4 linked regions of the Drosophila melanogaster genome follow. The protein of the gene in region 1 interacts with the protein of each later gene in a pairwise test. Each region holds a gene or a part of one and is shown in the gene's direction. Other genes may lie near its edges.

Region 1 (4,078 bases):
TTTGCACAGGTTTTGCTCAATGCTCAATTATTAGTTTACACATCACACGCGAGGTGGGTCCTAGCACCCGCCTTTCTATCCTCAACCGTGTACATAGGTTTAAATCTCTAGCGAGTAGACAAGAAGAGTAGCGAAAAGCGTTTCGATTAACGAGTGAATTTCGTCTCTCAAATTATCATGCAGATTTCCAGAAGCAAAGTGTATTACAAGAAGCCAAATATTACGTAGAATAAGTGTAGGTCAGTATCAATTGCGAAAGCGAAACGGAAACGGAAACAGAAACGAGAACATCCTGAGATTATGATTACGAACGCGTTGCCAAGTAGCCTGAAGAGCGAATAAGCGAGAAGATAGTGCTTAGATGCGCCAGTGAGTCAGTCCCCATGCTGATTTATAGTTTATAGTTTTCTTTTATTTACACCTAAATTATGAAAGCATTTTGATTTCCTTCATTTCATTATCGGTTTCATCCATGGATGCAAACAAGAAGCAAGCAAAACACGAGTACTTGGCGAATATTAAATTAAGCAAACAAGTTTTTAATTTGTACTTGATGGAAATACGTTTCTTATTAACCTTTAAGTTTACTCCTTAAGAAACTGATTTGTATAAGCTGCGCCCATATATACATACACACGAACATATATAATATATATATATAAATTTTATTGTAGTTACTACACAAAATTTGTCAAAGCAAAGAAAAACAAAACAAAATCCACAAAAGGAAAGAATCCAACATACAATTTAAGTTACCATACAATTTTTGTGATAAAACTAACAAATAAAATACAATTTATAAAACGCAAACTGTTTTTTAAGTGTTTTCTAAAAAGGAGTCCATTGTTGTATCCCCACCAGTAAGAATGCATTTCAAGTAGTTTTCGTTTAAGCCTAAACTTTATTTTACACTTATTTACTACAAAATATATGTATTCATAGAGCCGCTTATTATGCGTATTAAAAGCCATGTCAAGTTATGAATAACTTTTTCGCAGCATTAAAGCAGACTATGTTTTCCTACGCTTGTAATTTAAAAAGATCAACAACAAAAGAGGTTAACCCAAATCGCAAAGCGTAAATGCCAGTCGTAACAATCGCAGTGTTAATTTAAATTCACAAAGAATAAGATCCAAGCTGGAGCCAGCCATGCACTTACTGATAAACAACCACTGTGCGTGCACGCAATAAATATTTCATAATATTCAAACAATGGCTCCAACATGTGGTTAATAAACTAGAGAAATTTTGTAGATTACACTGAATTATCCTAAATTTAGACTTAGTTCTTCAGCTTTGGCGACGCTTTGCCTGGTTCAAGCTAAAATTAGAAACAATTCAACTAGTAAGTCCAGAGTTGGCTAACGGGGTTTGAGATGGTTGGTTTGGGTGTCTGTGGATGGGAACGGTTGGTGGGTGAAGCACAGGTTTAAGTGACGACGGCCGATCGCTTGTCACGATTCTTTCCACGTGTTATGGAGCGTGCCTTGAATGCAGCAGCATTCACAAGGTGCTGCAAAAGCAACAAATATAAATATATTAAAATTTGAAGCGAATGTTAACACATTTCAATCAACTTACCCGCTCCAGCTTGGTCGGCTTGACCTTGGCGTTTCCATTGATGCCTGTGTTCGTGGGTCGTGGTCCCAGCTGGAAGATGTCACGGATGAACTCGTTCTCCTGCAGCTGCGAGGTCATCCCGGGACCCATGACAGTGCACATGGCCGAATACTGATGATGGATGGACCAGGAATCTAGTGTCAGCGACTCGGTACCGAAACGAATGCTAATCTCTGGGGAAATGTCCTCCTGCAACGAGATAAAAAAAACTTTAAAATCAGGCTAGGCTACGAGCAAATATTCTAATCTCATTTCGTACGATTTTGAAATGTATCACTATTAGTTTCTCTATCAGATCAAACAGACCAAATTTCTCGTTAAAAAAAAAAAAACTACTAAAAAAAATTGTTTTGGCCAATTAGTTTTGTAGATTTCGTTATCAAGATGATGCTATCAACCTATCAGCACGACTATGTCCCGCCCAGTGCCAAACGGTACGAGTTTCTAACGCGGCCCAGGGGCGCCGAGGCTCACAGTGGTCCGCAGGTCAAGGAGTGCGAATGCGTCGACGAGTCCAAGATCATGATGCCGCCGAACGCGTCTAAGGACTGTGGCGGCGTCGAGTGGACGGGCATAGCGCCAATGGGAAAGCTGGTGGATCCGCGTATCATACCCACCCAGCTGACTCAGGACCAGGTGGACAAGATGGCCTTCTCCGCGGAAACAGATTGCTTTAAGCTGCAACCCAACCGCTTTCTCAAGATCTTACGTACAGTCTACCCGGATCTGTATGAACGCCTGAAGGTCATGCCCAAGGAGGAGCTGAGCCGCAGGCTGGAGACCAACCGTATGAACACCACCTATCAGATCGATTACTGTAACATGAACGAGTACCCGGAGGGTATTTATGAGAGCCTAAAGACGGAGGACGAGTCCAAGAACGCCAACAAGCTGATGAGCGAACGTGGACCCTGCAACGAGTTCCGCTCGAACGTGATGAACGAACTGGAGCGGGAGGCGTCCGCTGGCTACGAGATGTCTAGCGACGAGTGCCAAAAGAACTACAAGCCATTCAAGACCAGCTTCTCGGACTCCTCGCAGACCATCGAATCCGGCAGCAGTTCGCACTGGAACTCCGCCCCGACCACATACCGGAAGGTGCCGACCTTCAGCGAGTACATGGACTCGATAAGCCGGAACGGCTGCGTCATCATGCGCAACAAGTTGCACGATCACTCCAAGTGCTTGGCCAAGTACTGCAAGCACGAGCTCAAGTTCACTTGCACTGACATGAAGTAATCGTCCAAAGACTAGTGCATCTCGAGTCAAATAAATAAATGTAATCCCTATTGTTTAAGCGTAGCACTCGTGCAAATCTTCAACTCACCTCCAGGTATCGCAGCACATCACGGAAGGTGGCACGCTGGGCCTTGCGATCGCGCTTGGCGCGGTACTTATGCGAATCCGTGGCCAGCTGCTTGACGGCCTCCGATAACTCAGCGATGTCATCTTCTAGGAAATCCTCTTCGTGAGCACGTCCCGACTCCAGAATTAAAGCAATGGTCTCGCCAGCGGCCATGCGGACGTCCAAATGTGTAGATTGCAAGAGACCCAAGAACTTCTTAATAGATCTGCAAAGTTTAGTTTAAACAATTATAGCAATGGGTTTGAAAGTTAAATGGAACTTGCTCTTCAAACTTACGGAAACATGTTTTGGCCAGTGGTCATCAACGAAACAAAATCCCCCGAAGGTATAAGTGTTAGTAGAAGCCCCCAGGCGTTCAAGGCCTCCGCATGGAAAGTCCCAGCTTCGGCGGTGACGGATACCGGTGTCTTGTCATCGCCACGCAAATAACTGCCTGCGAAGATGGCCTCGAAGCTCTGCATCAGGTGTACCAACTCCCCAACATCCTCGCAGCCCAGGAAGCTCAACAATCCCACAGCTGTGCAGCACTTGGCACGGGCATCGAAGCCCACGGACTTGTCCTGAACGGTGTTCAACAGGAATTGATTCATCGCCTTGGATATGCCTTCATCCCCGCCCATTTGGAGCACCAGCAGGGGCGCGAGTCGTGCGCCCCACACCTGCTCCTGGCCCTTGCCTCGACGGATGCTCTTCTCCACGAAATCCATCAGGGTCATCTTGCGGTCCTCCACGAAGTCCGGCATGTAGCGGTGCATGAGCAGTTCGCAAATCGCTTGCAGAGCCTGCACACGTGTCTGGGCCGACTTCTCGGTGGCCTGTTCCAGGGCCTTCTCGAACTTCTCCTCGAAACGCTCATTGGCCAGCTCGTCGGTGGCCTCCGAGGATGCGACTTCGGACATATGAGAGTAAACGCTCACATTGTCAAAGGACTCGTCCTCAGAATTGGAGTCATTGGTGCGGCCTGAAAAAGAAATCATTTGGGTAATTAATAAGGTTTTTTTTTGAAGTATTTTGCTATACTCAGCGAGTTTTTCAAGCATAATTCATAAATATTTATTATGCTAATGCGACCTGTGAGCCTTTTTCAACAGC
Region 2 (8,591 bases), on another chromosome or scaffold:
GTTAATAATGTTCTCTTTAGATCCTTAATGACCATTTCAACCGGAACCCAAAGACTTGGCATATTCTGGTCATGCCCTATGACTCCTAGAGGCCCAGCGCAATCTGGCCGGGAATCGTACGGTCCCTCTCACAGGAGAGTCCCTGGATTGCCTTCTTGGCAGCATGTTGGATGTAGACATCAAGTACTTGATCAGCCACGGCGGCAGTTGGCAGCTATTTGTGGATCTGTATAATGCACTCACAGACAACCTGATTGTGCTGTTAAAAGAACACAGTAACCTGATGTCAGACCGAGCAGCCCAGCCCAGTCTCCTGTGCCAGGATCTCATCCAGGCTATCGGCCGGAAAGAAAGCAGTTACAGGACATAAGTGAAACGGAGCTGGTTGGTAATACATTTGACATTGTGTCGTCCCAAATTTGTACTGCTTCAGAACTTAAAATTTAACAAGCACCGCGACTTTATAAGTGCTGGATTGTGTAAAGCCTTAGCTGAAGAACATCTGGCAGTGCTCGCACAGGGGATCCTTCTCTTCTTCAACTCGATTACCACTGGAAATAAGATGATGGTCGATTGATTTTCAAATAAAAGGTGTTCCCAAGGGGGATGCTTCTTTTAAGGACTTAACTCACAATAAAGTCACGCAGCTGCGGCAAATGAACCTGGAGCACTCGCCGCAGGAGTAGCCACACTCCTCGCAGAGATCCATCACGCAGTTGACGCATATGTCGTGGATGAGCGTTTGGCGCTGGCAGCAGCGCGATTTCACTCTCTCCAGGCGCGGATTGGACAAGTCGGTGCGAAGGTTGCGCAGAACGATGGAACCATCGCCAAGCAGATAGTACTGCTCGCATAGGGCGGGCTCCTCCTGGCCTTGTACCAATGGCTTCAGGGCATTCTGGCCCTGACCCTGCCTATTGCCGGCTGCGCCATCGAAAAGCATTTTGATTGTCTTCTCTGCGAAAGAAATAGAAAATCGGAGAGTTCCAGTTGAGTTAGACACTTAAAGGAGGGTTAGACACTCAGCTTCGATGGGACGTGCAAAAGAACAGCAAGAAAAAAATTAAAAAAAAAAATTTATGCGTAAATTCATCGTAAATTAGAGGTCGCTGCTTTGCTCAATTTTTTGTTCTCGCGTCTAACTGTTCAAACTGAAGTGAGCAACAAGTCCGGGATAACTGCGCTCTGAGCGGCGCTATCTCTCCAATCTCCCACCCCTCCATTACAGGATCGAAACAAGATAAGTTGGTGCGAATAAGGCAATTTACATACCATGGACCTCCTTCATCTTCCGAGGATCACGGGAGTCGCACATTTTCTGGTTCACAAATACCTTCCGCTGCGTGAGATTGTTGTTGGCGTCGCCATCCGCTGATCGCGATCGTTTTGCCGCCTTTTTACGGACCTGGTTTTCCATGATGAGATACTGGCAGATTGTTGGGCAGATCGGATAGGAACGTCTTGAAATATCAATTGAAAATCCTTTACTTTCAGGTTTCCTAACTTGCAGGCTAACAGTTAATCAGTGTCCCGTTTTGCTAACAATATTGCCTTATTAGAATAGTGCTACCATATTAAAAAATACATACAAAAGCGCCGACTGCGATCAATTTTTTTATCGTCTATCGATCGAATTTGCGGTTAGGCGGAAAATTCAAAATGTTTCTGGTTATGAGCTGTTTGGAATAGTCCAGCATTTTTAATTTATCAGATTAAAATGACTGAAAATATAAAATTTATTACATTTGTATAATATATATATATATATATATATATATATATTTGTATAACTATGGATTTGAATTGGATGCTTGTCTGCTCGCTCGTAGTTTTAGCTGAAACATTTATATAGCCAATTTTATTTAAAAAAAATTTTGTTTTAGGTAATTAAAATAAGAAAGGTAGAATTTTTTTATTTCAAAATACCCATAACCAACAACTATCGATATTTATTGACTATCGGCCAGGGTTGCCAGCCGTGCGGAATTTGTTCACTTTCCCGGAGTAGATTTTGGCCACCTTTTGTGTAAAGACACAAAGAAAACCATGCAATTAATGGACGCCGACTGCTGATGCGATCGGAATTAGAACCGCGAGCAAGCGGAGCTCACAGTGACCGTAACATCCAGATCACAGATACTCGGAAGGATCGTAAAGGACACGGAAAATGGTGAGGCGGGGGGCTCCGGGCCAAACGCACTATTTTGCCAGTGATTCAGAGTGATTCCACCTAACCGGGAATTGGTTTCCACCCACCCACTGTCTGTGCAGCACGCCGCATCTTTGACGACGGTGGAGGGACTGCTGCAGGAGTTTTATCAGCCCAGCACCTCCAATGCCCGGAAACGAGAGATCGAGACAAACCTCTTGGCCTTCAAGTCCCAGCCAGAGGCGTGGCAACTTTGCCTCCGTGTGGCCACCTCTTCCGACACCACGGAGAATCAGTTCCTCTGGTTCTTCAGCACCTCAACCTTGGAGCACACAATCACGCGGAGATGGACACAGTTGACGTCCACGGACAAGACTTTGCTGCGGGAGACCCTTTGGAACTCGTATGCCCAACTGGTAGCCACTCCAAATGTGGCCAAACGGCACAGGGACACACTGGCCCAGTTGATAGCCCTACTCGGAAAGAGGGAGTTCCCTGAACAGGACCCCAATTACATGCAACACTGCATGGAACTGACAAAAACACGGTTTCAACTTGGCATCAACCTGCTTAAGATCACCTCCGAGGAGGTGGTAAGCAACAGGGGCGACCTGACCACCGAATGGAAGCAGTACTTCTACTCCTGGTGGGTAAATAGAGCGAAGAGGCTAAAATCGTATGTTTTTTAAAAAAGGTTTTGTAGTCCCATACTTTTAATGTCTGTTTAAGACTACTTGGATTTTTAACTGAGTACGGCGTATCAGATGGTCGATGTTTTCGAGCATAGCGTATTTTTATTATTAACTTTGGTGTTATTTGTTTAAATACACGATTGCGTCGCACAACATAGAATAACACAATCCCAGACCTTGTCAGTCCGTTCTTGTTTTTGGTTTATTAATAAGTGTTATATTGAGATTGAGTATGTATATGGCATAACAACTAAAGTCAGCTGACCTCTTAAAACTCAACTAATTGAACCGTTAACCCAGTTATCATATTATATTGCTTTGTTGAGAGAAAGCACTATAATTACTGGTCAGTTGCCACAGCACTGTTCCTAACCCATTTTGTGCTCCCTTTTGCCGTGTGTTTCTGTAGCATCTCCATGTGTGTACCCGATGTTCTGGACCTGGTAACCAAGTATCTGCTAATCGCTGTATGCCACATCAATGGCAAAGACATCCAAACAACCATACCAAACACCCTCATGGACTTTAGTCTAACCTCAGCGCTGCCAAATGACAATCAATTAAGGTGGGTCATCATAACATTCAAAAGAGCATATGTTCATTACAACATTTTGTTATAACATCTCTCTATATACTCCGCAGTTCCTCAATTTTGGACCTGCTAGGATGTGTGCAGCACTTGGTCTCCTGGATACGCACTGAACTGATCTCGGAGTACTTCCTTATGAGCATACTTGACCTTTCCCAGTGGCGACCAGCCCATGAGCCCATCTCCTTGGCGGCTCTCTCTGTGTTGAATGAGCTCCTCTACCTCCAGAAGCCACTGCCCTTCCCAGGACCCTTGATGGGCGGCGTTACCAGCCTCCTGGAGCAGCACAATAACAATCGGCGGCAGAGCGAGATGTACAGCGACAAGTTTCGGGAGCTGCTGCGCCTCTACACCACCAAGTATGCCGCCAAGCTGATGCAGGAGCCAGACCTGCTGGAGACCTTTCTCAATCTGCTATACAGCTGCACCACTGAATGTGAGTCGCGTGATAAAAATATTGCCTTTTGAGATGCTAACTTATTTTTTATTTTGAGATGATCTTTTTGCTGTGTAGTCATAAAACACTCGCAATATTAAATGGGTTATGTGCATCTCGTGATCGAGATTTCGAAATGTCGTTGACAAAGATATATAACAAAAGTTATTAATTTTGTATTCCCCAAACAGTACACGGCGCCTTGGACTTCACCGAAAAGCTTGAGATCTGGACACCCATCATCAAAGGCATTGCCCAGCACCCCGCCAAAATCACGCGTTATAACAATGTGCTTACCCAGCTAGTAGATGAGATTATGAGGCGCACTCAGTTTGAGGCCAACAAACCCGAGCTAGAAGTGCTGGACAACGAGCTCATGGAGGACGATGTAAGTAGCTCTGATTTAAAGTGTTTTTAGGTGACAAATTTCAAAAACCAAGAAATAGACCTTGCATTAGAACGATCTTCATTTTATCTAGACATTCATCCAATTTCAGACCTCCGCCACTGAGTGGCAGCAGTTTCTAGACCAATGCTTCGAGTCCCTGGCCCTACTGGCCAACACCAGAGGTGCACACATCGTTTTCGCACAGGTCTATAACCACTGGTCACGGCCACAGATGTATTTACTGTCCTTGGAGCACGCATTGGACCACGGAAGCGCTCGAAGCTACGAAGCGGCACGTAAACTGAAGGGCGCCAATGTGGGCGAGATTTTGCGCGACTTTGCCACCGTCTGCCAGGCGGTCGTGCGTTTGGCCCCATTGATGGACTCATCAACAGCAGCACCCGGGGTTGCTGATGAGATGGAGTGCCAGCTGCAGATGCTGTCCGACAGTTTGCTGCAGACTCTACAGCTCCTCGCAAGCAATCGTTTGTATAGCGGCGGCAGCGAAATGGACAAAGCTACTTTCCAGACTGATTTGGACAACCTGTAAGTGGGGCATCCCTTTGCATGATGTATGTGATACTATGCTTTCTTGATCCTTCAGATACGCTCAAGTTCTACTGGCCATGAGGAGCATCTTTCCGCTAACGAAAGCCATGAGCGGCGAGGAACTGCTGCACCGCCTGTTTGCTATCCTGGGCAGCATTTTCGCATGCAATGGATCCTTAACGGCTGCCTCCCCCATTGTGCAGCAGGCGGCAAGCGAGCTGCTGCTTTTCATATCGACTGTGATACGGCCCAAGTGCCTGCTGGATATACCACAAATCCAAAGCCTGCTGCAGGCAGGCTCTCGCTTGGGCGCCCAATTGCCGCGTCAGGTGTGCATCAATGTACACATCAGTCTGGTCAGCTACATGGTGCTGCCGTGGAAAAGCGTTCCGGAGCAGCAGCAGGAGTATCCGAGGCGTCTCTGGATGCTGCGTGAATATGTCCAGGGGCTGGCACAGAACTTTCTGGATCTGGACTTAGGCCAGGCCAACGAGAGCAAGGTGGCGGCCACCACGCTCAGTTTGCTGGGTACTTTCACTGCTCTCATTGAGTATTTTAAAGCTACTGGAGGCAATGCCAAGGATATGCTGGCAAGCACTTTCAAGGTGCCTTATTTTTTTAAGTAAATTTAAACATCCTATCCTAATCTATTAACGTTTTTTGTTTTCCAGCCTATTTTAACAAAGGCCCTAATGATTTTTAACAACTTTGGGCAAAGCAGCATCGCCATGGCCATCACGGTGGCCGAGTTTAGCCTGAGCATGCTCCGAACATTGCCCACCCATTTGGGGGCCCAGTTCATTAAGGAAATGATCACCTTGTTCATAAGTGTCAGCAGTAGGTGGGTCTCCCATCTCTTTCTTTACAGTGTGAGTGCTTACTAATGATGCCATCTCTTTCTGTCTCCAGGGAGCAACTGACTCTGAGCCGACTGGCTGTGATGGAAAAAATACTGCAGATGTTCAAGTTGATCGTGGAGCAGCCAGGGAGCGCCTCCTTGGGGCTGCTTCCCTCCATTTTAGATTTTAGCACTCAGCAGATTCTGCCCTTGTTGCAGCAGCAAAATGCGGCAACCGATAACAGCGAGATCACTAGCCTGTTGTACGCTTTGTTTGATAGGTGCGTGATGCTGCATAAATTAAAATAAATTGTACTTGTGTCTTGTGTCGTCATGAATTAACGCCCTTTCTCCATTTTAGTGTCCTCACCTGCAAGTGGCAGTTCTTCTACAAAAATCAGCTCTCCAATGGTCACAGCGGTGGTGGCTCCGGCAACTTCAACTGCAGCGACAACCTGCATCCAGCACACTTCATGGCCATCCTGAATGCGTATGGCCAGATGCTGGTCAGTGGGACTGATCCGAGCAATGTGCGCAGCGTTCTCTTCTCAATGCAAAATGTGAATGAGAGGAGTCGGTTGTACCAACGCGCCTTGTTCAAGGAGCAACTGCTGGCTTCATTTCAGCGGGCCTTGCTCAATCTGCTGTTGAGTGGAGAGGGCTCCCTCCACTTCGACATGATTGCCCAGGCGTTGTATGCTATGGGCCAGGTGGACCGACGCCAGTTGCTCGAGAGCTTCGTTCACGCCTCTTTGCCAGTGGCTCAGACGTCGCTGGAGGAGATCTGCCAGACAAATGTGAGTCAAATACTGAATATAAAGGGATCGACACCACTTGCAAGGCAAAAAAAGAAACTGTCTTCCATTTATGATTTAAGCATTCTGTTACAATCTTACTGTCCATGTCGACTTGTTTCAATTGTTTCAATCAATATAAACACAAAATTGCAAGTGGTGGTGACTCTTCCATGACTGACTTTGCGTTTAATAGGTACTACCTTTTATTGTTCAGGACATTCCAACGTTTACGCAGAAACTCACGCAGCTCATGCAGGACGCCCACTGCGTGCACCTCAATGAGACGGCGTAGGCCTTCCTTCCCTCAAGCGCGGGACTTTAACAGCTCCCCATCCTTGTTCCGTAAACCACGGCCGCATACGATTAGGTTCTTGCATGTATATAAAGTACTATATTGTTTTATTTTTGTAACTTTTAAATGTAATATGCTGTCGCATTTTGCATGCCATATTTCCCGATACTGTCTGTCATCTACTTCAGGTCCTTTGTCTTGTGGGCCGTGTCCCCAAAGCCCTATGTTCTAACACCATCCCACCAGATTGCGTTTGGTTCTTCCTTGTGCGATGTTGTATTTCTGTTTAGAAAGCTCAGCATTCGTCCCGATTGAAAAAGACATTAAATGTTAACTTAAAACAAGCTTCGTACATAGATTTAAGTGCATTATTATCTTTAGTTTTATGTCTACCACGTAACGAATATACGATTACTCTGCTTTCTGTGCTGTCACCGCAACTCGATAAAAGTCATACTACATATACATACCTACATATATCTTAGTAGCATATACATTTATATCCATAAATTAATTAGCATATCTCAACATGTAAATCAGTTACGTTGTAAGCAAGTATAAAGTATCAAGTAAGAAAATAGCTGGAAGGGCCGAAAAACCCAGGTACGAAATTATGTATGTAATTTATTTCGGGAAAACCTAACACCACCACCAACCAAAAGTAAATTCAAGGCGTTTAAAGTCCGTTGTAATGATTTGAACTATGTATGAATGTATGTATGTATGTATAATTGCTTAAGTCCTGCAATCAAAAGTCCAATAAAACTATTTTTACCATTTTATTCGCCAGTTGTTCGCAATTAGATATGTATTTGATTAGCATGACATTTATTAAAGTCTAGTTAGTATAATCAGTTATAAAACGATGGGTGGCACGTGGCTTTATAGGAGCAAATGCAAATTTTGCTCTCTTTTCATACTATGCATACATAGGTAGACATGTATGTATATAAAAGAGATCGAATTATGAAACAGTTATCTTTCATCTCTCTTTTGTTCCCTTTCCTTTTCCACTACATCAACTATCGACTGTTCGAGCTTTTAATCCCGTTACTTTGTTCTAAAGTTGCCTGAAATGTAACTTTATTTTGACTACACTCTGTGATTTCAGTTATTCCGGTCAATTTGGTGAGTGCAGTTTGATATTGGAGGCCTACATTCGGTTGGACTACGATTAGTGATAAAACGGCGAAATTAGTTAAAAACCATTGTTAGAGGTTTTCGTAGTGTGTTTTCGGTGTCGCTTACAGTTTTTGTAACTGTGGTTTCAATAAATGCTGTTAAATATCTGACGCAAATGTTCGGTGTAGCTTACGGTTACTTTTACATGTGATGTACATACATATGTACATATGTAAATAGCGGTCGTGTTATTTCATTGTATTAAATCAAGCAACAGAGGCAATTTATAAATAAATTAGAATCTCAGGTAAGCTATAGGCAACTTATTTTCAATAAATTGCTTATCATTTCAACATCCATAACCTTAATCATTGCAAACTATTACTAATAGGATTTCCTATAAACATAGACCTATGAGTATAACGTTAAATGTTATATGTTTAATTACTATGCCTTGCGCACGCGCTCAAATAATCAAAATGCCATAAAAATAAATGGTAATAAGAATCACTTATAAAAACAATCGGATAACGATGGAGGAGCTGGAGGATGTTGCGGACGAGGTCCACAAAAGAGACAGCTTCCTTTTCTTTGTCTGTGGCTTACATACTCTCTTGTTTACTCACTCGATATTTCCTTTTGCATACTTTTGCTCAGGTGTCGAGGACAAAAGCGCCGAAACCAAATTTAATAAAAAGCGAAAGCAAAACAAAGGAATATCATTAAAATGTCAGGAAGC
Region 3 (4,400 bases), on another chromosome or scaffold:
CAAAACATGACGCATCTGCGGCTCCATGACTACGCCTTTCCATTTGTGCCGGATCCACACGCACACACGCGCAACCATTGACGCCAACACGAACACACCACACGCAGAGTGCAAATAACGGAGAAACATCAAGACACGCAGAGGAGCAGCAACTGGAAGAGGACAACATGGCCAACATCCTGGAGAACCAACTGTTCACGGCCGCCAAGACCATCGAGCAGCAGCTGGACCAGCAGCTCGACCGCCTGGACAACCTCGATTCGGATGACCTAAAGGTCCTGCGGGAGCAGCGGCTCCGCGAAATGAAGGACCTGAACAACAAGAAGCAGGAGTGGCTCAGAAACGTAGGTGATCATCTCTTACAACACTCAATTATTGAAGATACTTCGAGATTGTTCTCTAAGTGGTATATGACCAAATGGTATTCAACATGCGACTTTTAAGACATTCGCGACACTTGCTTCGATTAATTCAAATTAGTTTTCAAATTGGGCTACCAGCTTAAATAGCTCAAAACTTAAATATATATGTAAAAATTAACTTTCAAAGAAAACCTTGTTAGCGCAACAATCTCATTAATCCCCAAAATTGCTAATCTTTTCCAGGGTCATGGCACCTACACCGAGCTGGCCGACGAAAAAGAGTTCTTCGAGATGTCGAAAAAGTCGCCCAACATTGTTTGCCACTTTTACCGCGACAGCACCGAGCGCTGCAAGATCGTGGACATGCACCTGAAGATCCTCGCGGCCAAGCACGTGGAGGCCAAGTTTTGCAAGGTGAATGCCGAAAAGACTCCATTCCTCACCCAGCGACTGCGCATCAAGGTGATACCCACCATCGCCCTGGTGAAGGACAGCAAGACCAAGGACTTCATTGTCGGATTCACCGATCTGGGCAACTGCGACGACTTCGCCACCGAAATGCTGGAGTGGCGCATCGCCCACTCGGGGGCCATTGACTACAAGGGCGATCTGATGCAGCCACCAGATGTGAAACGCAAACCATTCATCAACCGCCCACAGAAGACAATACGTGGAGGCTACGACTCGGATGACTCCGATATAGATCTGGATGACTAACTACGGGCAGTCCATCCCACACTCTCGATTACCCAAGCTCCAGCTTTCGTTCCACACTCCCACACAAGATACACTCAAAAGCGATGGAGTAACAAAAACGGACACACACAAATCAAAACCTAGCACATGGATCTAAACCAATTAGGCGTACTCTAGCGTTATTTATTTAATTATACGATTCCGATCCCTCTGCTACGGTCCCATCGCCACCTAGTGTAAGTGGCTAATTCGGTTGCCTTCCCCCCCGATTATGTGCTTTAATATCTATCAGTTCAATCAGCTGCCTCGAAGGCTGCGCCACTCTAGCGAGCTTAAGCGAACTCAAAATTTGATCTTTATGGTATTTGCAATTCCAAATGAATGTGCACCCTTTGCGTATATATGTTAAGTTGAGCATAGTTTTACAAACTGCCCTCGCCCTCCAGAAAACGGTGTACGTAAAACAAGAAACTAACATACACAGAGCATAAAAGACAAGAAACTAAATATCTGGCATATATATATTTTTAAAATTTCGATAAAAGGTGTATTGCATTTCCTACAGTAGAGGTAACTAACACTTACATATGTACAAGTTTTTATATTTATTTTTGTAATTCTACAAAGCATCAAAGGAAATCAACGATTAAATAGCATGTTCAAAACAATTGCAAGCGCTTGGTAATTGGTTGTAAACTTAAATGGTTCCCACACAGGTTTTTTGCATTTCAGATCGTACTCTTGGTAATATTTTATTTAAATCATACACGGGAAAGGCAGCTTTTTATTAAAATATGACTTTTTAACAAAAAGACTAGAATTTCTTTAAGAACTTATTATTTTCATCATTTATCGATATTATTAAACCTTACTTGGAAAACACAGAACTGATCATCGGGTTAAATAGTTTTGAATGAAATAATCCTGAAATAATAGGTTTGAACAAACTACGCTGCAGTTAAAGTAATGGTATTTCCCCGAACAGCTGATCATGAGATTCCGAAAATCCTCCCTTAACACAAGGGTTGCCAGTCTTGCCGCAGACGAATAACGGAATGGCCGCCAAAGACAAAAAGGGACGCCAACTGAATTTACCTGTAATGACGCCGTAATCCCGCCAATTGCAGCTTGCTCGCCATAAAACTACGGTCCAGACTATCGTCAAAATCGGTGCAAAAACTTTTACCTGCCAGGTGCATAAAACGCCCATCGAGGATTCGATTTACCATCATTGGTATTGTGAAACTCGAGGTGTACAGAAGTGATTCGAAATGGTTCTCGCTCCCGAAGTTCGAAGTATTGTGAAGGCGCTGAAGGGCTCGAACAGCTGTGAGGAGATAGCCCAGATCCTGGAGTGCGACGTGGAGAGCGTGATAAGCTGCATTCGTGAGTGTGAGCTGCTCGAGGGGAAGACTGCCACGCTGAGGTTGCCGCAAAAACTGAAAACAGCGGCGCCCGTGGCGGTTGCGCAGGAGGAGGAAAAGAAGCGCGATGTTGGCAGACCCAAGGTCCTGGAGAACCGGCAAATTGTCGAGCAAATGCTGAGCGACAATCCGCACTACACCTCCATCGATGTGCAGCGGGAGTTGGCCCGACACGGCATAGAGGTCAGCCGCAGGACCTTGCAGCGCAGGATCAGCGAGATTCGCTCCAAAGGCATACGGCAACCGAGAGGATCGCCACAGCCGAAGGAGCCCAGCACTTTCGGCCTCAGTGAGGGGGCGAAAAAAAGGAGGTTGGCCTGGGCCACCGCCCATCAGGATTGGACCGTGCGCGACTGGCGCAACATCTTCAACATGGACGATCTTAAATTCGTCGACGAATCAACGCCGCCAAAGGAGATCTTCCTTGACTCGCTGATGGGACCGGAGGGCAGTGTCTGCAATGACCTCAATCTCCTCGAGCAATTGATGGCCATCATCCAGCCGAGGATTCAGAATCAGGCGCCCAAAAATGTCAGCGAGTTTCGAGCCGTCTTGTACGACGTCTGGCACAGCGACCAGGACATGGTGGACAAAATTGAGATGCTCTACGAGTCGATGACGTGGCGGGTCTCAGCGGTCCTCCGCAACGGCGGGGATCAGACCGAGTTCTGCTAGCCAAGCTGTGGATTCCAATCGCACCCTGATTCTTGAATGTTGTATTGAAAATAACGACGTTCATGATCTTGTTTAATTTGACATATTATTAAGTTTGTAGTGGCCATATAATGTACATGGTACACTCTGATTAGATTCGCGGCGTAGGATTAAATATCTTCATTTTTTGAAACTATAACTATAAAAAAACATATACATTTTAATAAAGTGTAAAACAATATAATATCAACGATGTTTCAACAGCTTGGGAAATATTTCTTAAAAGTAATAATGTTTCAGAATACAAGCCAATTATTATTTTATTAAACAAACTTTAAATATGTATAACAATTTTATTTGATAAATGAACACTTTTTCATCATTAGAGTATGTTGTTAATTCGCCTCCTGAATTGCTTTTGGTTTCTTCGAAATTGACCATATATATTGCAATATAACAGCAATAGAATAGACTATTCCAATAACTATAAAATAGAATGCGTAGACGGAAAACTGTTGAAAAACATTCAAATTCAGATTGGCCTTTTCCGAGACGACGACAAATGTGAGGATGCACTGCAGGAGGAGTCCCACGAACGTGTTGAAACCAAACACCAGAGCGAAGCTATCCTCCTCCAAGCTGCTGGCCAACTCCGAGCTATAAGGTATTACGAGATTTGGTAAATTTCACCTGTTGGAAAAGGATCAAGAACTGCTTACCTGGCCACTGTTATGGTGAAGGCAAACAGGCCTCCATACAGCACATAGCCAAGATAGGACAGATATATATCATCGGTCCAGCAGGAAAGCAAAACACAACCTCCTTCCAGGACCGACAGCAGAGCCATCGAGAGCAGGCTGCTCCTGGTGTTCAGACGTCCAGCATGGAAATAACCGGCGAGAAGGGCGAACACAGCGCTTAGAAGCGTCAGGGCCACGTCCACAGCTCCATTCCAGGCTATCTTCAGGGGAAATCTCAAGGATGAGAAAGCCATTGATTATTGAAACTCACTCACTGTTGGTTCGTTCTCGAAGGACTTCCATACCACCTGCATATAGGTGGTGATTTGCAGAAATCCAGCCAAACTGATGGCATACCACAAGCTCCATTGTATCACCAAGGGATTAGTGTAGGCACTACGGAAGTGGGACCAAAGGAGCTGCAACGCTGGTATCTTCTTTTCTTGGCTCGCTTCCTCGTTACTGGGTTGCTCTGAACCCTTCTCCAGGTTACCACCATCCGATTTGGTTCCACCTTCTATGGC
Region 4 (5,461 bases), on another chromosome or scaffold:
GCGGGGCAAGAAACAAGGAACTGGCAGCAACTGGGAAAGGTAACCGCGATGGGGATGGGGATGAGTCGATCGTTGGCGTTGAATTTGATTTTGATTTCACCTGAGTGGCTGAGCCTTTTTCCCTGCCCTTTTGTTGTTCTCCTTTTATCGAGTCGAGTATTTTTGTTTTCCGATTTTTTCCTTCTGCTCTGCTTACCGTGTTCCTTTTGGTGTTTTTGTTTTTTTTTTTTATTGTCAACCAACGCAGCAAACAAATGCAAAGCAACGACCTACGACTTCTCACCGTGAGTTGTGTATTATATCTCCGCTTTGTGCTTTTTTTTTATTAGGGTACAGTGGTAATTGGATAATATTTTTATATATATATATTTTTCAAGATTCGCGTTTTAAATAAAAAAACAAAATTTTTTTTTCTTTTCTATATATTTTAGCTGGCTGATACAAGTAGGTAAAACCACTTAAGAATGAGGAAGGTGTGTACTTTTTAGTTTATACCCAAACTATTTGATTGATCTCACAAATTATGAAAGAAGTTGTATAAATTAAAAAAAAAATTAATTACTTTTTTATTATTTCTGAATATTTCATAGTGCGTATAATTTAATTGGCTGCTATTTTACAATCGAAAGGTGGACATTAGTGGGTGACCACTGTTGTTATTGCTGATCATTAACACTTGTTGTTTTTGCTGCTCATCTCGAAATGGTTGTTGGTGCTTATCCTTTTCGACTATATCCCCCGTAGTAATATGGCCATATTGAGTTCATTTTCATCAGGTCTTTCTTCATTTGGCTGATGGTTTTGTGTTTGTTGCTCCCTTATTGGCTTGTTGTTTCTCTTGCATCTTATCTGTGTGTTGTTGTCGTTGGGCGTTTGGCGGTGATTGTTGTTGTTGTTGCTGTTCGAGGTTTTGTAATTGATGATGTTTATGTTTGAGTATTGGCCCCCGTCACCAGCCCCTTCCAACTGATTTAAAGATTACGCACCTACGGTTTTTATTTTTTATTTTCGAGGAGTGCGTGTGGGTTTTCCTCGTCTTCGGTTGAGGGACTCCTGTGTGTGTGCCTGGCATATTAATGCCAAGATCTTAATTTATTCTAATGGGTTTATCAAATGCTGTGGGGTAATAATAATAATAATAGATAAAGTTGAATGGCGCGAAAGAGAAGTAATGTAAATAATATGGTAATATTCAATGAGCTGTGAACGAGCCTGGCGATAAAGTAAGTTGATAAAGGTTCTGTAGTGAAAATCCCTGTATTAACACACTGGTGGCTTAGTCCAGTTAAATAAATCGTGAATCATTTTTGAAGGGGAAAATGTTTACTTTCAAGTTGATGAATGGTAATTGGCATCGTATTGCCGATAAAACTGGAAAGTGTTCGAAATTCGTATGTGCAATATTCCACAATAGCTTTATGCACTTGCTTGCGTACCGCATAAATATTTACCTCCATTTGACTTCACTCAAGCGGAAACAATTCAGTGTGCAATGAATTATCTTACTTTCGAGTAAATTTATTAAGCATGCAGTGGGTATTTATCAAAGGAAAACAACTGCCTTTTGCTGATAAGTCAAGCAAATAAAAGCATATGCAAAATGCTACCGAAGAGAAAGGAGCAGGAAAATATAATTTACTTTTTCTTTAACAAAATTAAAGTTTTAATAGTATTTATTTTCAATTTCGATAAAACATCTGTGTCGTTATGAATGACTATATTCTTAACAATATTCCAAAATTATACTTTCTCGTCCCCAAAACTTTTTTTCAAAAACTTCCGCGCAAATTTTAACAGACCAAATAAAGTTAATAACAAAATGACAGAAAAGCTTAGATACCAACGGGTTTCTGGTATTTTTCCAGTATAACCAGTTGCTTGATTCAAACAAACTTTCTTGAATTAAAACTTTGATTAACGAAGTAAGTTGCTGCAGTACCACCCTTAAATTTATTTTAAAAACAATATTTTTAATGAACACAGGTTGGTATCAATTTTCAATGGGAGAGCCGTGAACCGACTCCAAGTTCCGAACCAATCCAGCAATGCACCTGCAGCCCTGGAATTCTAGTTCGCGGCGAACCGGTTCAGTTGCAACCAGTTCTTCGCCAATCAATTCCTCACGGGCCGTGTTTGTTTTAAGTTAAAATTAGTAAATTACCCAATGCAATCAGCTTGCCAGGCGATTCGTGCTGCGCACCTAGACAATCGAGTGCTAATGCGATTCGCTAAAATGCCAAAAACCAGCGGCCGTTGAAGAATCGCTGCCAAATCGGTGGGTTTTCGTACATAAAACTATATGCGAATTGTTCGTGCCAGTGTGTGTTCGTGTGTGTGTGTGTGTGTGTGGTGTGAGTGTGGCCCCCTCTATGTGTGGCCGATAAAGGGGGCGGTGTCGTTGATAAGGGGGCGTGGAACATGAGCAATGCAAATCCTTTAGACAAAGAATCAATTTGCCAATTGTGCGACACTCGAGAGTCTCAAAAAGTCCTAAAAGCAGGGCCAAATGCACACACATAGTCAGTGAGTGAGTGTATGTGGGTGTGGGTGGGTGCGTTAGTGAGGTGGGCGGTAAGGTCGTGTGGAAAGTGTCAAGGCATTTTACAACAGCGGCACACGAGCAAGGTAAAACCCTCGAGCCCGAATACTAAAACCGAGCCAAAAACACCGCGCCCCATGCGCAGCTCTGCATTAAACATGACTACCAGAAAGTCCTTCGCGGGGATTCCCCGCAAATGCTCCGTCCTGCTCTCGCAGTCGCAACTCAGTTCTCCACATTTCGTGTGTGCATCGTAAATTGTTGCACATTTAAATATTCATGCAGCCCGGGCAGAAAGCATAGCTTATATTTTTTACGATTACAATTTTGGTGCTTTACACGAATTTCCCACGGCGCCGGCGCACTTTACATCCATGCTCGCCATCTTTCTCGCACTCCTTCGCTCTCTTTCACACTCTCTCGCTCTCTGGCTTTCTCCTTTCGGATTTTTGGAGTGCCATCAAAGTTTTGAAAAGTATGTTCAAGTGCTGGACCAAAAGGCATAATAATAGTATGGCCAAGACAAAGGTAGCGCCTCCCATCCACCCTCCCCCCCTGCGAACTTTCCCCGCGAACATCCTTGGAACGAGACCCTCGAAAAGGACACATTCTGCAGGTCCTGCTGGCTTGTTTACCTTTTCAGCTGGCCATCATTTCCGTTGCAAAATTCACAACGCCCACTGTGCGGGGATACTTCCTTCCTACCATTGGCACTTTCGACAGCATTTTGTGCATTTGTGGTGTGTGCCGCCTGTAATTGATTGGGGTTTACACCTGATATGAGTGTGATTGACATATCAAACAAGTTTCGGCCAGGCCAGTCTCATTTCCGTTGCGACACCATTAACAGTGGTCCCTCGAAAAGTGTTCCCATCACACAAGTGTCAACACGCCAGCCCAACTTTATAGTGGCATTTTCAATTTGATTGATTCAGATAGCATTATAAACTTAACTTAGTTTGTAAGTAAGATTACAAAATATTTAGGAAATTATTAGCAAATTTTCTTGATTAAAATCTGTGTATAATTTTTCACAAATGTAAACAAATTTGTTTATATTTGCGTCATCTGCTTGACAGAATTCTCGCAAAGCTTCTTGACAGTTTCTTAATTAGACGCCAAATAAATCTGATTAGCGGCCTTCAACTAATGGAAAAACTCACCTTCACCATTTTCACTTGTTATATTTTTCCAGCGCAAAATGCATTCTTAACATCAGCAGCTACGAAAACAGCAACAGCATTAGCGGCAACAACGAATCAACGACACCAATAACAATACCATTAACAACAAATCATCAGAAGAAACCGAAGGAAAACGCTCAAAGTTTTGGAGTTGCTCACTGGCCGCTTAGTTTTTTGTTTATTTTTTATGTTCGTTTTTGGAGGGCAGTAGGCGACGACGGGCAAAGGAAGCGGGAGAAGGAAAAGCGACGGACACGAAAAACAGGACACAACTCATCAATATTCGAAAAAGCAATTGAGTCGAGGCATCAATTCATCAATTATTCAAAATGACCGAAGACGAAATTCTCTTTGACGACGTCTACGAGCTGTGCGAGGTCATTGGCAAGTAAGTTAGCGCCCCACCGGCTATATCTTTAGCCGATTCTGCTGCTGACAGCTGGCATCCATGGCCATTATCTCATTATGTATTATGTATCCGCCCCGTATGCCCATCCCACCCACCCAGAAGCCGTAAATCATGCAACTATTGGCCTGGGACGAAGCCAGCTCCCCTCTATAAAAAACTTTCCCAAACGCCCAACTTTTGCATTATTCAAAAATGTATGACCAAACATTTTCTGTGCTAGTTACTTTTGCTGTGATCATCATAGTTTAGCCAGAAGTTCATTCACAAAGCTGTCAATGTTATTAAGTTGAACTTTGTTTAATTTCGTTGGAAAAATATTTTTCACTGATGTTGAAAATGTTCCATTAACACACTTCTAAAGTTTATTGAAAATGAAGTGTGAGTCACTAAATAGCACGTTTTTTAATTTTTTGCAATTTATAATCTATAAACTATAAGCAAAATGACGACCTTGAATCGCAATAGTTTTCCAAATTCAGCTTGGTGACATAGTTCAATAAAAATTAATCACGCTCATAAAACAAGATGATAGGAAATCGTTGCTTGACTTTAAATGAGTTATTGAATAGGAATTTGTAAGAAAATTAAAATTTATTTGTAAAATAATCATCAGTAATGTTATGGCAAGCTTTTGTATTAAAACCCCACGTTTGTAACTACAAAGAGAATACATAGTTGATTAAATTTCCTCTTTCTCAAGTATCTTGTTTGCTTTTAGACGCTCGGAAAATATAAATATTTTGCTTTTGTCGAAGCAAGATAAAATTTTATTCGCTCCCATTTAGACACAATCAACTTTCAATTGAAGTTTAATCCGAATTTACTTTATTCCCCCCCCATCCGGGATTGTTTCTTACAGAGGACCTTTCTCCATCGTAAGGCGATGCATACACAGGGAGTCCAATCAGCAGTTTGCCGTCAAAATCGTTGATGTGGCCAAGTTCACAGCGAGTCCTGGACTGAGCACAGCGGGTGAGGATTATATACACAATACACCTATATATATATGTATACACTCCGCTTTTATTTTTGACGGCACAATGAGACGACCTTGTTCGATTTGGCCCCGGGCTACCGATTCCTGACTCCTCCAGAGCGCTGTGTGAATAAATTATAATTAAGCTGCTCAATTATTCAAAATTATGCCGCTGCCACACGTGTAGCACGCCCCCAGGGCTGCCCGTTTGCCAGCCCAAGACGCCAATTAAAAAGAAATTGCTCAAGTGCAAGGGCGCCAGGACCTGAGCCTGAATCAGGACATGGACACGAACCCGGACGTGGATGTGAATGTGGACGAGGAGCAGCCATCCGACCATTGACTAAATGATA

Evidence for each region.
Region 2: the proteins of CG8813 (region 1) and ebo interact in a two-hybrid assay, tested with the Drosophila melanogaster proteins (one large-scale study listed by BioGRID).
Region 3: the proteins of CG8813 (region 1) and CG4570 interact in a two-hybrid assay, tested with the Drosophila melanogaster proteins (one large-scale study listed by BioGRID).
Region 4: the proteins of CG8813 (region 1) and CASK interact in a two-hybrid assay, tested with the Drosophila melanogaster proteins (one large-scale study listed by BioGRID).

The regions. Positions count from the first base shown.
Region 1 is NT_033779.5:2,867,742-2,871,819, forward strand, and holds CG8813 (uncharacterized protein), read left to right. Parts: upstream 1-1,910; 5' UTR 1,911-2,004; coding exon 2,005-2,859; 3' UTR 2,860-2,908; downstream 2,909-4,078. Other genes in the region: Ifrd1 (Interferon-related developmental regulator 1), read right to left, coding at 1,430-1,513, 1,582-1,809, 2,948-3,191, 3,263-3,947.
Region 2 is NC_004354.4:469,973-478,563, reverse strand, and holds ebo (ellipsoid body open), read left to right. Parts: upstream 1-1,984; 5' UTR 1,985-2,167; coding exon 2,168-2,170; intron 2,171-2,271; coding exon 2,272-2,795; intron 2,796-3,250; coding exon 3,251-3,406; intron 3,407-3,483; coding exon 3,484-3,866; intron 3,867-4,057; coding exon 4,058-4,254; intron 4,255-4,345; coding exon of another isoform or gene 4,346-4,363; coding exon 4,364-4,800; intron 4,801-4,858; coding exon 4,859-5,408; intron 5,409-5,474; coding exon 5,475-5,644; intron 5,645-5,712; coding exon 5,713-5,922; intron 5,923-6,002; coding exon 6,003-6,438; intron 6,439-6,631; coding exon 6,632-6,730; 3' UTR 6,731-7,545; downstream 7,546-8,591. Other genes in the region: CG13373 (uncharacterized protein), read right to left, coding at 488-551, 633-957, 1,273-1,417.
Region 3 is NT_033777.3:10,854,689-10,859,088, forward strand, and holds CG4570 (uncharacterized protein), read left to right. Parts: upstream 1-2,118; 5' UTR 2,119-2,329; coding exon 2,330-3,157; 3' UTR 3,158-3,378; downstream 3,379-4,400. Other genes in the region: CG4511 (uncharacterized protein), read left to right, coding at 168-344, 606-1,079; CG14694 (uncharacterized protein), read right to left, coding at 3,532-3,793, 3,856-4,097, 4,152-4,400.
Region 4 is NT_033777.3:21,819,297-21,824,757, reverse strand, and holds the start of CASK (CASK), read left to right. Parts: upstream 1-2,083; 5' UTR 2,084-2,275; intron 2,276-3,734; 5' UTR 3,735-4,052; coding exon 4,053-4,111; intron 4,112-4,991; coding exon 4,992-5,104; intron 5,105-5,461.